Linked DNA regions of Sus scrofa. The protein of the gene in region 3 binds, or shares a complex with, the protein of the main gene of each other region. Links are inferred from orthologs where the notes say so. Each region holds a gene or a part of one and is shown on either strand. Other genes may lie near its edges.

Region 1 (3,866 bases), about 56 Mb from region 3:
CTGTTAAAGAGACTTGTGAGGAAATCACATGGCGTGCTGTAATACTGTCAGCAGCTTGTAACTTTGCCTTAGCTTCTAACTTTATTCCCATCTCCCCTTCACTGACCATTGTGTGTTTGTGGCATGTATTTTACATGTATCACTACTAATGTCTTTGAAACTTGGTGTTGCTTATCACCCCACACAGCCACCCTGGTCTTAGATTAGAAGGGGTGGTGTTTTGGAGAATCACCAGAACCTGTGACACAAAAATTTAACCTCTACCTTAAATGTATATCTCGGACATTTTATTTTGTCCAAAGTCAAGTCAGAATATTCTCCATCTATCTCAAAGTCATCTCCATTTAACCTACAAGCAAACAGGTTTTGGCCATTGGGACTTAAAAACAGTTCTCTGGCTGGCATCCTGGATCGAGGGGCAGTCTCTTTCCAGGGAGCCTAAATACTGAATGTCAAAGATGACGCTAAAACCAAAGGAAGTTTCTCTTTTCCACATGGCCCATCACTGGCTCTATGCCCACTAACCCTCATGCCATTCATGGAAGCATGCTTTAACACGCAGCCTCAGGCGCTGGCCTGGGGTGGGTGGAATGGGTGGGAGTAGGTTTTATCTTTGGGGGGCGGCTTTTTGGCCTTTTTAAAAACTTGAGTTGAAAATTATTTTTCACACTGGATGTTTAACAATGCCCTTGACTCGGCATCTAAGATATTAACCAGCTTCAGCAGATTATGCGTCTGACGGGAACTCCCCCAGCTTATCTCATTAACAGGATGCCAAGCCATGAGGTGAGAGCAAATAGACTATCCGAGGATATCTCATTGAGAAGGCCACTTTCTCACTTTATTGCCACTGGATAACCAGCACAGTTTTAATGTCACCGAATGCTTGCATGTGCCTTGAGGGCTACTAAGGCAGTAACTGCCTGTATTCTATTGCCCGATATTGACATTTGGGATAAAATGTCATCCAGTCCTTATGAATATAATTTGTAGGCTGGTACATGGAAAATGATGTTACTTTTATATTGGGGTTTTGTGAATTTAGTGCTCAGGAGGTTTGTGTTTTCCTAAGGTTCTGTGCCTGCAGTTAGGGTACGCTGCCATCTAAGGTTTTCAGCTGGAGGTGTATTAACTGAAGGTCATTAGTATGCTTTCCTGTTCATTCGTTTTTTTAATGACCAAAAGAAGAGTTCATTATTAAAAACAAAAACAGGAAACAAAAAATCTTGGAGTTCCCTTGTGGTACACTGTGTTAAGGATCCAGCGAGGTCACTGCAGCAGCTCGGGTTGCTCCTGTGGTGCAGGTTCAATCCCTGACCCAGTAACTTATGCATGTCAATGGCACAGCCAAAAGTAAATAGATAAACAAAATATCTAATGCTAATAAGTACTATATTTAAAAGAAAATATACAAATAATATAAAATAAATATGAACAGTTAGGGTTAAGTGCTTTTAAAAAAACAAACAAACAAAAAAAAACAAACGGTGCTGGAATTCCCTTTGTGGCTCAGTGGTTAATGAATCCAGCTAGGAACCATGAGGTTGCAGGTTCAATCCCTGACCTTGCTCAGTGGGTTAAAGATCTGGCGTTGCCGTGAGCTGTGGTATAGGTTGCAGACGCGGCTCAGATCCCGTATTGCTGTGGCCTCTGGTGTAGACCCCTTGCCTGGGAACCTCCATATGCCTCAGGAGCAGCCCTAGAAATGGCAAAAAGACAAACAACAAAAAAAAAAAAAAAAGAAAAAAAAGAAAAAACAGTGCTTAGCTACTTAATCTTTACTCTAGTTTTATCATCAGAGATGATTGAGCACTTCTTTCTACAGTGCCCTTAATCATACGGGGGATCATGTTGGCAACGCAGAGGCCCTTCTTAGCAGCTTTCTTTCTACTTCAGCTATATGCAAGTAGTCTTTATTTATCTTGTTAGAGGGAAGGCTGTTCTGTGAATGAGACGGGTCTCTCTTACCACTTACGTCTCTTGTCTGCACCCTCAAGTAGGAAGGGATTACAGGCATGTTGATACTCAACTCCTAAAGCTTTCTTTTCAAATCAGAAAGATTCTCAGCTGATTTTCAAAGTGGGCTTCCCCTGCTCCCTCTGCATGCAGTGACTAAGGAGGTGAAGCTAATAAGAGCTACAAGCTACCATGTATAAACTACAAGGATAGTTTATACAGCGCAGGAAATGTAGCCAATATTTTAAAAATAACTCTAAATGGAATATAATCTGTACAAATAATGAATCACTGTTATACCTGAAACTAATATTATGAATCAGCTGTGTCAATTTAAATTATATATAAATTTTTAAAAGAAGGTGAAGTTATTTTAGCAGCTAGAGCTTTTTCTAACCTTGTGTGTGTGTGTGTATACGTATGTACATAAATATATATACATACATACCCTTACTGTTGAGCTGTGTTAAAAAAGGAATTTTAGGAGTTCCATTGTGGCGCAGTGGTTAATGATCTGGCTTGTCTCTGTGGTGTTGCCAGTTCAGTCCCCAGCCTGGCACAGTTGGTTAAGGATCCAGCATTTCTGCAGCTGTGGCGTAGGTCACAAATACAGTTCAGATTTGATCCCTGGCCTGGGAACTTCCATAGGCCATGAGTGCGGCTGGAAGAGAAAAAAAAAAACCAGGAATTTTTAGAGAGATAGATTCAGAGAAGTTTTGTTTGTTTGTTTGTTTGTTTTTGCCTTTTCTAGGGCCGCCCTCGTGGCATATGGAGGTTCCCAGGCTAGGGGTCGAATCAGAGCTGTAGCCGCCAGCCTACGCCAGAGCCACAGCAATGCAGGATCCAAGCCGAGTCTACAACCTACACCCAGCTCATGGCAACACCAGATCCTTGACCCAGTGAGTGAGGCTAGGGATCGAACCTGTATCTTCCTGGATATTAGTCAGGTTTGCTTCCACTGAGCCACAATGGGGAACTCCGAAAGTCTTTAATGATTAGCAGACACATTCCTCAACACCGAAGCCAGTGGCCTTTGTCAGTTAACACTTGACAGGACCAGGACTCTGAGAGTGGTAGCAATACTGAACAAAGCCATTTTGAAAACCCTCTGTTTTGCAGGCAAGAAACTACATTCAATCTTTGACCCAGATGCCGAAGATGAACTTTGCAAATGTATTTATTGGTGCCAATCCCTTGGGTAAGTTGACTACATCCTCATCTCATGGATATTGGTTATGACATAAACTAGGGATTTGAAGAAGAGGGTTTCCTTTTGACCACATATAGTACCATTAATTAAACCTGGTAGGTGGTAAATAATGCCATCTGTTATCCATGTTTGTATTGTCAGGTTTTGTTTTGTTTTTAATCTCACGCCATGCTTATGTATTTATATGATCACAGAATTTGATGGGGAAATAGGCTGGTTCAGTGACAAAAGAGAAAGTCATGAAAATGTCAGGAGAAAAGGTTGAGGGACACAGACAGAAAAGGGTATGGAGGAAAGCCTGCAGCTCCTTCACTGCTGTCATCATTTTATGGTGTCCACACTGAGGATATAAACAACAGAAACACAAGGGTGTTTGGCAGACCCGCCCAGGAGCTCCCTGCAGTCCCTGCTCTGCCCACAGCTTCCCAGTGCTTTAGGTCCTGCTTCCCTTGTCCTCTTCTCCTTTTGCCCTTCAGAGACTTAACCAGTCTCTCTTCCTTGTGGAGGTAGTTTGCCACCCAAGACTGTAAGGAATGTCTCCATAGCATTCCTGCCACCATCACTTCCAGGATCTTTGGCAAAGGGGCAGGACAGTGGCAGCTGCAGGACGTGTACTGCCTTGGCTGATAAGAGGAGTTGCTTTATTCCTTAAAACTGGGGGCTGATGTGTACTTCTTTTGGTCCCACAGAGTGACATTGC
Region 2 (3,120 bases), on a different chromosome or scaffold from region 3:
CTGGGTCTTTCTCGGTTGGTCTTGGCCGGAGAGGGCCTGTGGGGTTTCTTGCGGTATTCCACCCGCGTCCAGCCCCCTTCGCTGACTTTGCTCTCCTCCTCACTGGCTCTCGACTCGGTGTCGAAGCGCAGGGGCATCCCCGGGATGGTCCTGGGCTGCTGGGAGTCATTGGGGCTCCTCTTGAGGTCGGGCGACGAGTGAGTGTTGAGGGCTGACTGAGACACCCTGTAGAATTTTCCAGAATATCTTTCTCTTGAAGGCGTGGAATGCTGACTTTTCCCCCCGTATCTTCCTCTGGGAGAAGAATTGAGTGATACGCTACCCCGATCATATTTGTTCCTGCTTCTACCTGAATATCGCCCCCTCTCCAAAGAGTTAGAATTCAGACTGGAAAAGCTGCTGTCCTTGGAGTTGAGGTGCAGAGAAGAGAAGTGTTTGGTCAGTGCGTACTGAGTGGGAGAGGAGCTTCTGGACTGGTTTATAGGTGTTATCTGTTGATACTTAATGGGCACCTGAGTCCGCCTCACAGCAGCAGCATAGGAGTCCGGGTCATGGAAGTAGGGAAAGAATTGTGACCCCAGGATGGGATTGCTCTGGGAGCGCTGTAAAGACGTGTTGGACGCAATCTGCCGCATCCTCAGAGTGTCTAACCACTGGCAGTCGGCACCTGCCGGAGAAACGGAAAGAAGCACCTTTCAAGCCATAGTGAAGCTGCATGCCCCATTCATAAGCCTGTCTCAGGATCATTCAAACCTATTTGGGAAGCCCTAAGCGTTACCATTCATTGAAATTCTAAGCTAGGTGTAAGGACATTTCCTTTACTATTATAAACACTTTTTTTTTTTTTTTTGTCTTTTTGCTATTTCTTTGGGCCGCTCCCGCAGCATATGGAGGTTCCCAGGCTAGGGGTCGAATCAGAGCTGTAGCCACTGGCCTACACCAGAGCCATAGTAACACGGGATCCGAGCCGCATCTGCGACCTACACCACAGCTCACAGCGGCAGTGCCAGATCCTTAACCCACTGAGCAAGGGCAGGGACCGAACCCGCAACCTCATGGTTCCTAGTCGGATTCGTTAACCACTGCGCCACGACGGGAACTCCTATAAATACTTTTTTAAAAAAAAATAAGGGCATTTACACATACTGAATTCATGCTATATGCTTGGCACTATTTCAAAGGCGTTTTTACTTACAGTCTCTCATTTAACCCTCCAAAAACCTTCTCAGGTAAATACTGATAATATTCTATAAATGGGGAGCCTGAACCTTGAGCGATCAGGTAACCGGACCCACAGACAGACATTCAGCTAATAATCCCACGTCCTTCAGCAACTAAATCCCATCTTCTTCCCATGTAGCCATGTGGTCACGTCTAGAAATTGCTGTTGAGGTCTCTTTGCATGGCAGGGGCATGTTTAGTAAACAAAAGGCTTTTTGCCAACCAGTACTTTTACATCTTCGAGAACCCTGAATGCAGATAAAAGAAACTGGGTTCTAAAGGTCAAGACAGCTACAGATTGTTTGGAAGAAAGGCGGTTCGTATCTCCAGTAAAGAAAAGCTCCTGAGGTTCAGGAAGGAGAAATGTTTTCTGCATGAAAAAAGAAGCTTCATGGCAAATAGGAAGACGTTATGGTTAAAGAAAATGGTGAAGGAACAAGAGCCATTTGGTAAGCCATTTCAGTGAATAAGCAAGTTCCTTACACCTAGAATCTTCTTTGTTTTTCCCAGGTCCTGAGCTGCCCACATGCTTGAGGCCCCCAGTGTCCTCCCTGAGCTACTGTGGCCCTGCTGGTGCAGATGGAGCTTCTGGAGAGGATCAGAGCACACTCACCTCCCTCTGCCAGCAAGCAGCCTCTCTCCCTGCTCTGCACAGGTGACTCGTGCCTCTCAGGTGAGGGACTCATCCAGATAAGGTGACCTCCTGTGTTCAGACACTCCTCACAGGTTTCATTCAGTCACCACATACCTTCTTTCCTTCACCTTGACCTCTCTGAACTCTCAGCTTCCAACAGAACCCTGATTTTGTTCAGTGTCCAACCCCCTCCACGGAGCTGTGTGCATCAGGGAAGCTGACCACATTCTGGCTCCAGGGCAGACTTTTTTTTTTAATATATGAGTTCACTCTGAGGCTTTGGGCCAAATTCTATTTATTTATTTATTTATTTAAATTACTCAAATGAACTTATCACATCTGTAGTTGTATAATGATCATAATGATCTAATTTCACAGGATTTCCAAGGCAGACTTTGATTAGTTCAAGCCAGACATAGTGATGGACAAGGTGCTCAGCTTTGGCCAAAGCCACCTGAAAGATAGCCTGCAGGGGGGTTCTAAGCAAGTCTTTCTCACTCGGAAACATGAGAACAGGGGAAGGGATTGACCTCTTATTTCCTGTGGGCATTATCGTATCTGTATGTGATGACTATGAACATAAGAGGAGCAAGGTCAAGGGCAAAGGCAACATCTTGAGGATGGCAGAGTGGAAAGAAGGGAAGGTCCATGTCTCCTCCTTAACGTGGTTGAGTAGCTTAACTGCACTTGGAGCCCACCTACCCCTGGACCTCTTGTGACTTCTTGTTATGGAAAACAATAAGTTTTGTGGTTTGTGGTTTAAGAACTTTTTTGTTTGCTTGTTTTCTCAATTTAATTTTTTTTTTTTTTTTTTGTCTGCACCTAATGAATGTGGAAGTTTCCAAGCCAGAGATCAAACCTGCACCACAGTGGTGACCTGTGCCACAGCTGCAGCAACGCTGGATCCTTAACCTGCTGTTCTTGACGGGAACTTCCTCATTTTTATTTTCGATTGCACTATGCTTGATTTACTATGTTGTGTTAGTTTCAGGTGTACAGCAAAGTGATTTAGTTATACCACATCCATTCTTTTTTAGATTCTTTCCCCATATAGGTTATTATAGAATATTGAGTAGAGTTCCCTGTGCTATAGTAGATCCTTGTTGATCATCTATTTTATACATAGTAGTGTGTATATGTTAATCCCAAAACTTTTAATTTATCTCTCCTCCGTAAGGACTTTAGAATGAGAAAGAAAATAACTAAATCAACTGTGTTGACAAAGAAAGGCCGATCCAGCAAGCCGTCAAAGATTCTGTTGGTGA
Region 3 (3,866 bases):
CAATAGGGAAAAGTTGGGACTATTTTGATTTCTTAAACTATATAGTATCTCTGATGTTGGTACAGCCTCTGAGGAAGAAAAATGGACTTATACTGGGTATCTACCCTGCATGCTGGGTGCTGTATATATACATTATCTTTTAACTTTTAAAATAGCATTAAAAGAGACAATCTACTGTCCTAAATAAAGAAAAGGGAACTGAGGATTAGCGAGACTGAAAAACTTGCCTCAGCTTACAGAGATCCTAAGCAGCAGAGCTGGGATGTGAATGCGCAGTTATGGGGCCCCCCAGTGCGTGAGAGAAGTACCCGAGATCCCACCTACTGCTCACCTGGTGCACAAGCACATCCCCAATCCTCTTGATGAGAAAGTTCTTTTCACTTTTATCCACCAGAGAGTCCTTTTTCCGCTCCAGGAGTCTCTGGAAGAACTGGCTGTGGATACTGATCAGCTCATCCAAACAGGGGAACAGCTTCTCCACCATCTGCTGCTCGAAGAGCAGGTCGGCCATCATGCCCCGGCTGTACACGTCGCTCATGATCTTGAGTGTGCGGAGGTGGTGGAACTCTGTCTGCAGCAGCTCTGGAGGAGGGACAAAGCTTACAGTCCAGAACGCTTTCTTCCTTGAGGATGCTCCTTCAGAGTGTGTCTGTTGCTACTGGGAACCCCATTTTGTCCTAAGGCTACTTAGAACCCAATTTAAACTTTAAAACTGGATCAACAGCTGTCTCCTCCCTGAAGTGTTTTCATTTGACTTCTCTATTTTTCATGGGACTTCACACTACTTTCTGACAGGCATTTTGGACTCTATCACTCTTAAATGCCAGTTTCCAAAGTGGTCTTCCTTGGATTCAAGACCTTTCATAATTTACTGTGTTCTTATTTCTCAGAAATGACTTGTTTAGTCTAGTTTCTACTGTAGCTGAGGAAGTAAACTGTACTGTCACAAGAGATCTTTTTCTAGGACTGTTGCATAAATGAGAACTCATGTTAAATAAGATGTTCAATAAAATTAAAGAAAAAATATCAAGTCTTTATACCTCAAAGTTTTAAAAGAAAATCTTAGGCTACATACTGGAAAATCAACTTTCCACAGCCCAATAAATCGCCTGATAAACAATGCAAATAATGCAAATCACATACTAGCAGAACAAATGAAGTCTCACCATAAATCACTTCTTGCCGTTTGACCACATCTTTCTTTTGCTGTTTCAGAAACTTGCTGTCCACAATTTGACTCCAGGACTCTGCTTCCAGCTGTTTGGCCTCAATCTCAAAGTCTCCCATTAGTTGTCCTTCGTTCATGTCTGTCCCTACTCCTCAAAATACCAAAAGATCAACATCAGAATTTTGGATCTGTGATCTCTCAAAAACCTATACTGAACTTTCCTCAGGGTGATAATTTCATGAGATGCAAACACTCTGCACTAACACAAGGATGAACCAATATTCTATTAGAAAAGAATGCCATTTTCTGTTTGGGCGTGACATACTTTATATTCAAGACTTTGGTTAAGGACCATAAATGGCACATAAATCAAACACAATTAAGACATGATTCCTATCGTGAAGTAGGAACTGCAAGGGTCCTGATGACTTTACTTGTTTGAACAGGCTTACAACTGTGCTGAGAGCTAGAACTCAAAGGGTACCAGAGTCTAGGTGAAGAAAAAGCAATTGTACCAGAGTCTGACCACATTAAAATCAACGACACACATTCTTCAGTGGAGAGCTATCTAACAGCTGGTTTACCAACTCTTTATAAGGCACTTCTTTACAGACAATTTAGAGAATCTTTACATGAGTAAGGAAGAGGCAGGAGTCATTCATTATTCTATTAGCACTTGCATTCTAGGTAATGGTACCGTGTCTCAGAGGCATGTGATACAGGCCATAACTTCCTCTTACCCTCATCAGTAAGGGACTCTGTTGACTCATTGACCTTGCTGATTTTATTTAGTGAGTCTGTTGAATGAGACAGGAATTTCCAGGTGTTTGATATGTTCTCATCATTGCCAACTCTGGGGACAAAAAAAAAAAGAAACACTGTCAAATACATTCTGATGAGCCATGGTTTGTGGCCTTAAATGAGGATCTTAAGACCTTACATTAGGCACCCAGTAAACGTTTGTGGTATGACACAAAACTAAGCCAGAAACATTTAGAACTAAATTTTATTTAAGGCCAACTTTTAAAAGTCATAATAAACAAATTTTGATAACATAACTTTGAAAAAAGGCCTTTGGATAATTACAAAACAAAGACAAAAACAATATAAAAATACCTGAAATTTTTTTTTGTTTGTTTTTAAAGGAGGAAGGAACATTAGCCAGCACAGAGGTTAGGAAATACAGCCAAAAGCAGATTTGCATCCTTCAGATGGGAATTTTCCTCCAGCTTAGGTTAAGAGAGCTGCAAGAAATGTTTTGAGTCCTACATTTGAGATGACTTCTTTGCTTGATGGGAAGGCAGGCATCTTACCCCAAACAGCCAACAACATCATAATCAGCCCTGTGCTAACCACAGACAGCCGAGGCCTGAATAGTCAGGGGTCACGGCAACTTCTATAGGGACCACAAAAGGAACTCAGTGCAAATGAGTGACTGGAAACTACTGTAATACCAGCCCGTCAGTCATTCCCATGACTTAGGAGTTAAGGACAGAAAACAGTAAAAAAAACAAAACTATGCCCCTCTTCCTGCCCAGGTTCATCCAACCAACAGAAAAATGAGACATCTTAAGATATAAATGGTTGCCAACTAAAAATTCAGAATTAAATCATCTTTTATCCTATTCCCACTTTTAACTTTGATCTAAAAAGCATCCTTCTAGAATGTAGTTTCTTTAAAAGCAGGGCTGATTATGAACAAAAAAGTGGGGGACAACTGGCCTGAAAATGATGTTTATAGGGGATCTTTGTTACAAAACGGTGATGATGGTGCATGAAAATGGAACCCTCATTCCACCATCTGTATCGCTTAGCTCTGCACCTCCTCATGAAGTTATGCATTTTTTTTCTAAAAAAAAAATCTCTTCATAGTATAATCACTATGCTCTTGTCACCTAGATGTCAACTGTGCTATCTTTACATCCCCGCATACCCAGCAATGTTCTGTATGGAGACACTCTTGGAGAGCGAGACACTCTGCTGGGACCGTCTATTAGCAAACACAGGGGCTGAAGTGGTTTCGTCGGCCAGAAGGACGGCAGACCGAGGGCGCTCCTTGGGCTGGGAGGCTGTAAAGGAAGAGAGGACATCAAGTGAAGATTCAGCTATCCGTGCCCACCAGTGCCAACTCCCCAGACAAACGCCAAAGAGAAGCAAACTGCTCTAAAAGAGACGTACCCTGGGAGTGTAATGGGTACGAAAACTCTCCTGAGGACAATCTGGCAAAAGCTACTGAAATCGTTAAATGCCTATCCCTTTTGATCCAGCAATTCCATTTTAGGATATGTTTACTCTGCCAAGCTTAAGTTGTTTATGTTTGAAATGACAAATGTCCAAAGTTATTCAATGCAAAGTTTGGTAAAAGCAAAAGATTGGAAATTATACAAACTGAGTATCAAAAGACGGTCAGTTAAGAAATTATGAGCTCCCATTGTGGCGTACTGGAAATGAATCCAACTAGGACCCATGAGATTGCGGGTTTGATCCCTGGCCTTGCTCAGTGGGTTAAGGATCCGGTGTTGCCGTGAGCTGTGGTGTAGGTTGCAGACAAGGCTCAGATCCTGCATTGCTGTGGCTGTGGCGCAGGCCAGCACCTACAGCTCTGATTTCACCCGTAGCCTGGGAACCTCCATATGCTGCGGGTATGGCCCTAAAAATAGCGAAAAAAAGGGGGGAAAAAAAAAAGGAATTATGGTAC

Evidence for each region. The genes of interacting proteins can lie anywhere in the genome.
Region 1: AKAP13 (region 3) and MAPK14 share a complex: the UniProt entries of both Homo sapiens proteins name them as parts of the signaling complex. The link is inferred for Sus scrofa from reciprocal best matches to the Homo sapiens genes AKAP13 and MAPK14.
Region 2: AKAP13 (region 3) and MAP3K20 share a complex: the UniProt entries of both Homo sapiens proteins name them as parts of the signaling complex. The link is inferred for Sus scrofa from reciprocal best matches to the Homo sapiens genes AKAP13 and MAP3K20.

What each region holds. Positions count from the first base shown.
Region 1 is NC_010449.5:31,850,206-31,854,071, forward strand, and holds part of MAPK14 (mitogen-activated protein kinase 14), read left to right. Parts: intron 1-706; coding exon 707-786; intron 787-3,075; coding exon 3,076-3,154; intron 3,155-3,866. UniProt on the Homo sapiens protein: Serine/threonine kinase which acts as an essential component of the MAP kinase signal transduction pathway.
Region 2 is NC_010457.5:79,373,321-79,376,440, reverse strand, and holds part of MAP3K20 (mitogen-activated protein kinase kinase kinase MLT), read right to left. Parts: intron 1,895-3,120; exon of another isoform or gene 1,732-1,894; intron 668-1,731; coding exon 1-667. UniProt on the Homo sapiens protein: Stress-activated component of a protein kinase signal transduction cascade that promotes programmed cell death in response to various stress, such as ribosomal stress, osmotic shock and ionizing radiation.
Region 3 is NC_010449.5:88,193,222-88,197,087, reverse strand, and holds part of AKAP13 (A-kinase anchor protein 13), read right to left. Parts: intron 3,238-3,866; coding exon 3,102-3,237; intron 2,022-3,101; coding exon 1,909-2,021; intron 1,320-1,908; coding exon 1,167-1,319; intron 583-1,166; coding exon 332-582; intron 1-331. UniProt on the Homo sapiens protein: Scaffold protein that plays an important role in assembling signaling complexes downstream of several types of G protein-coupled receptors.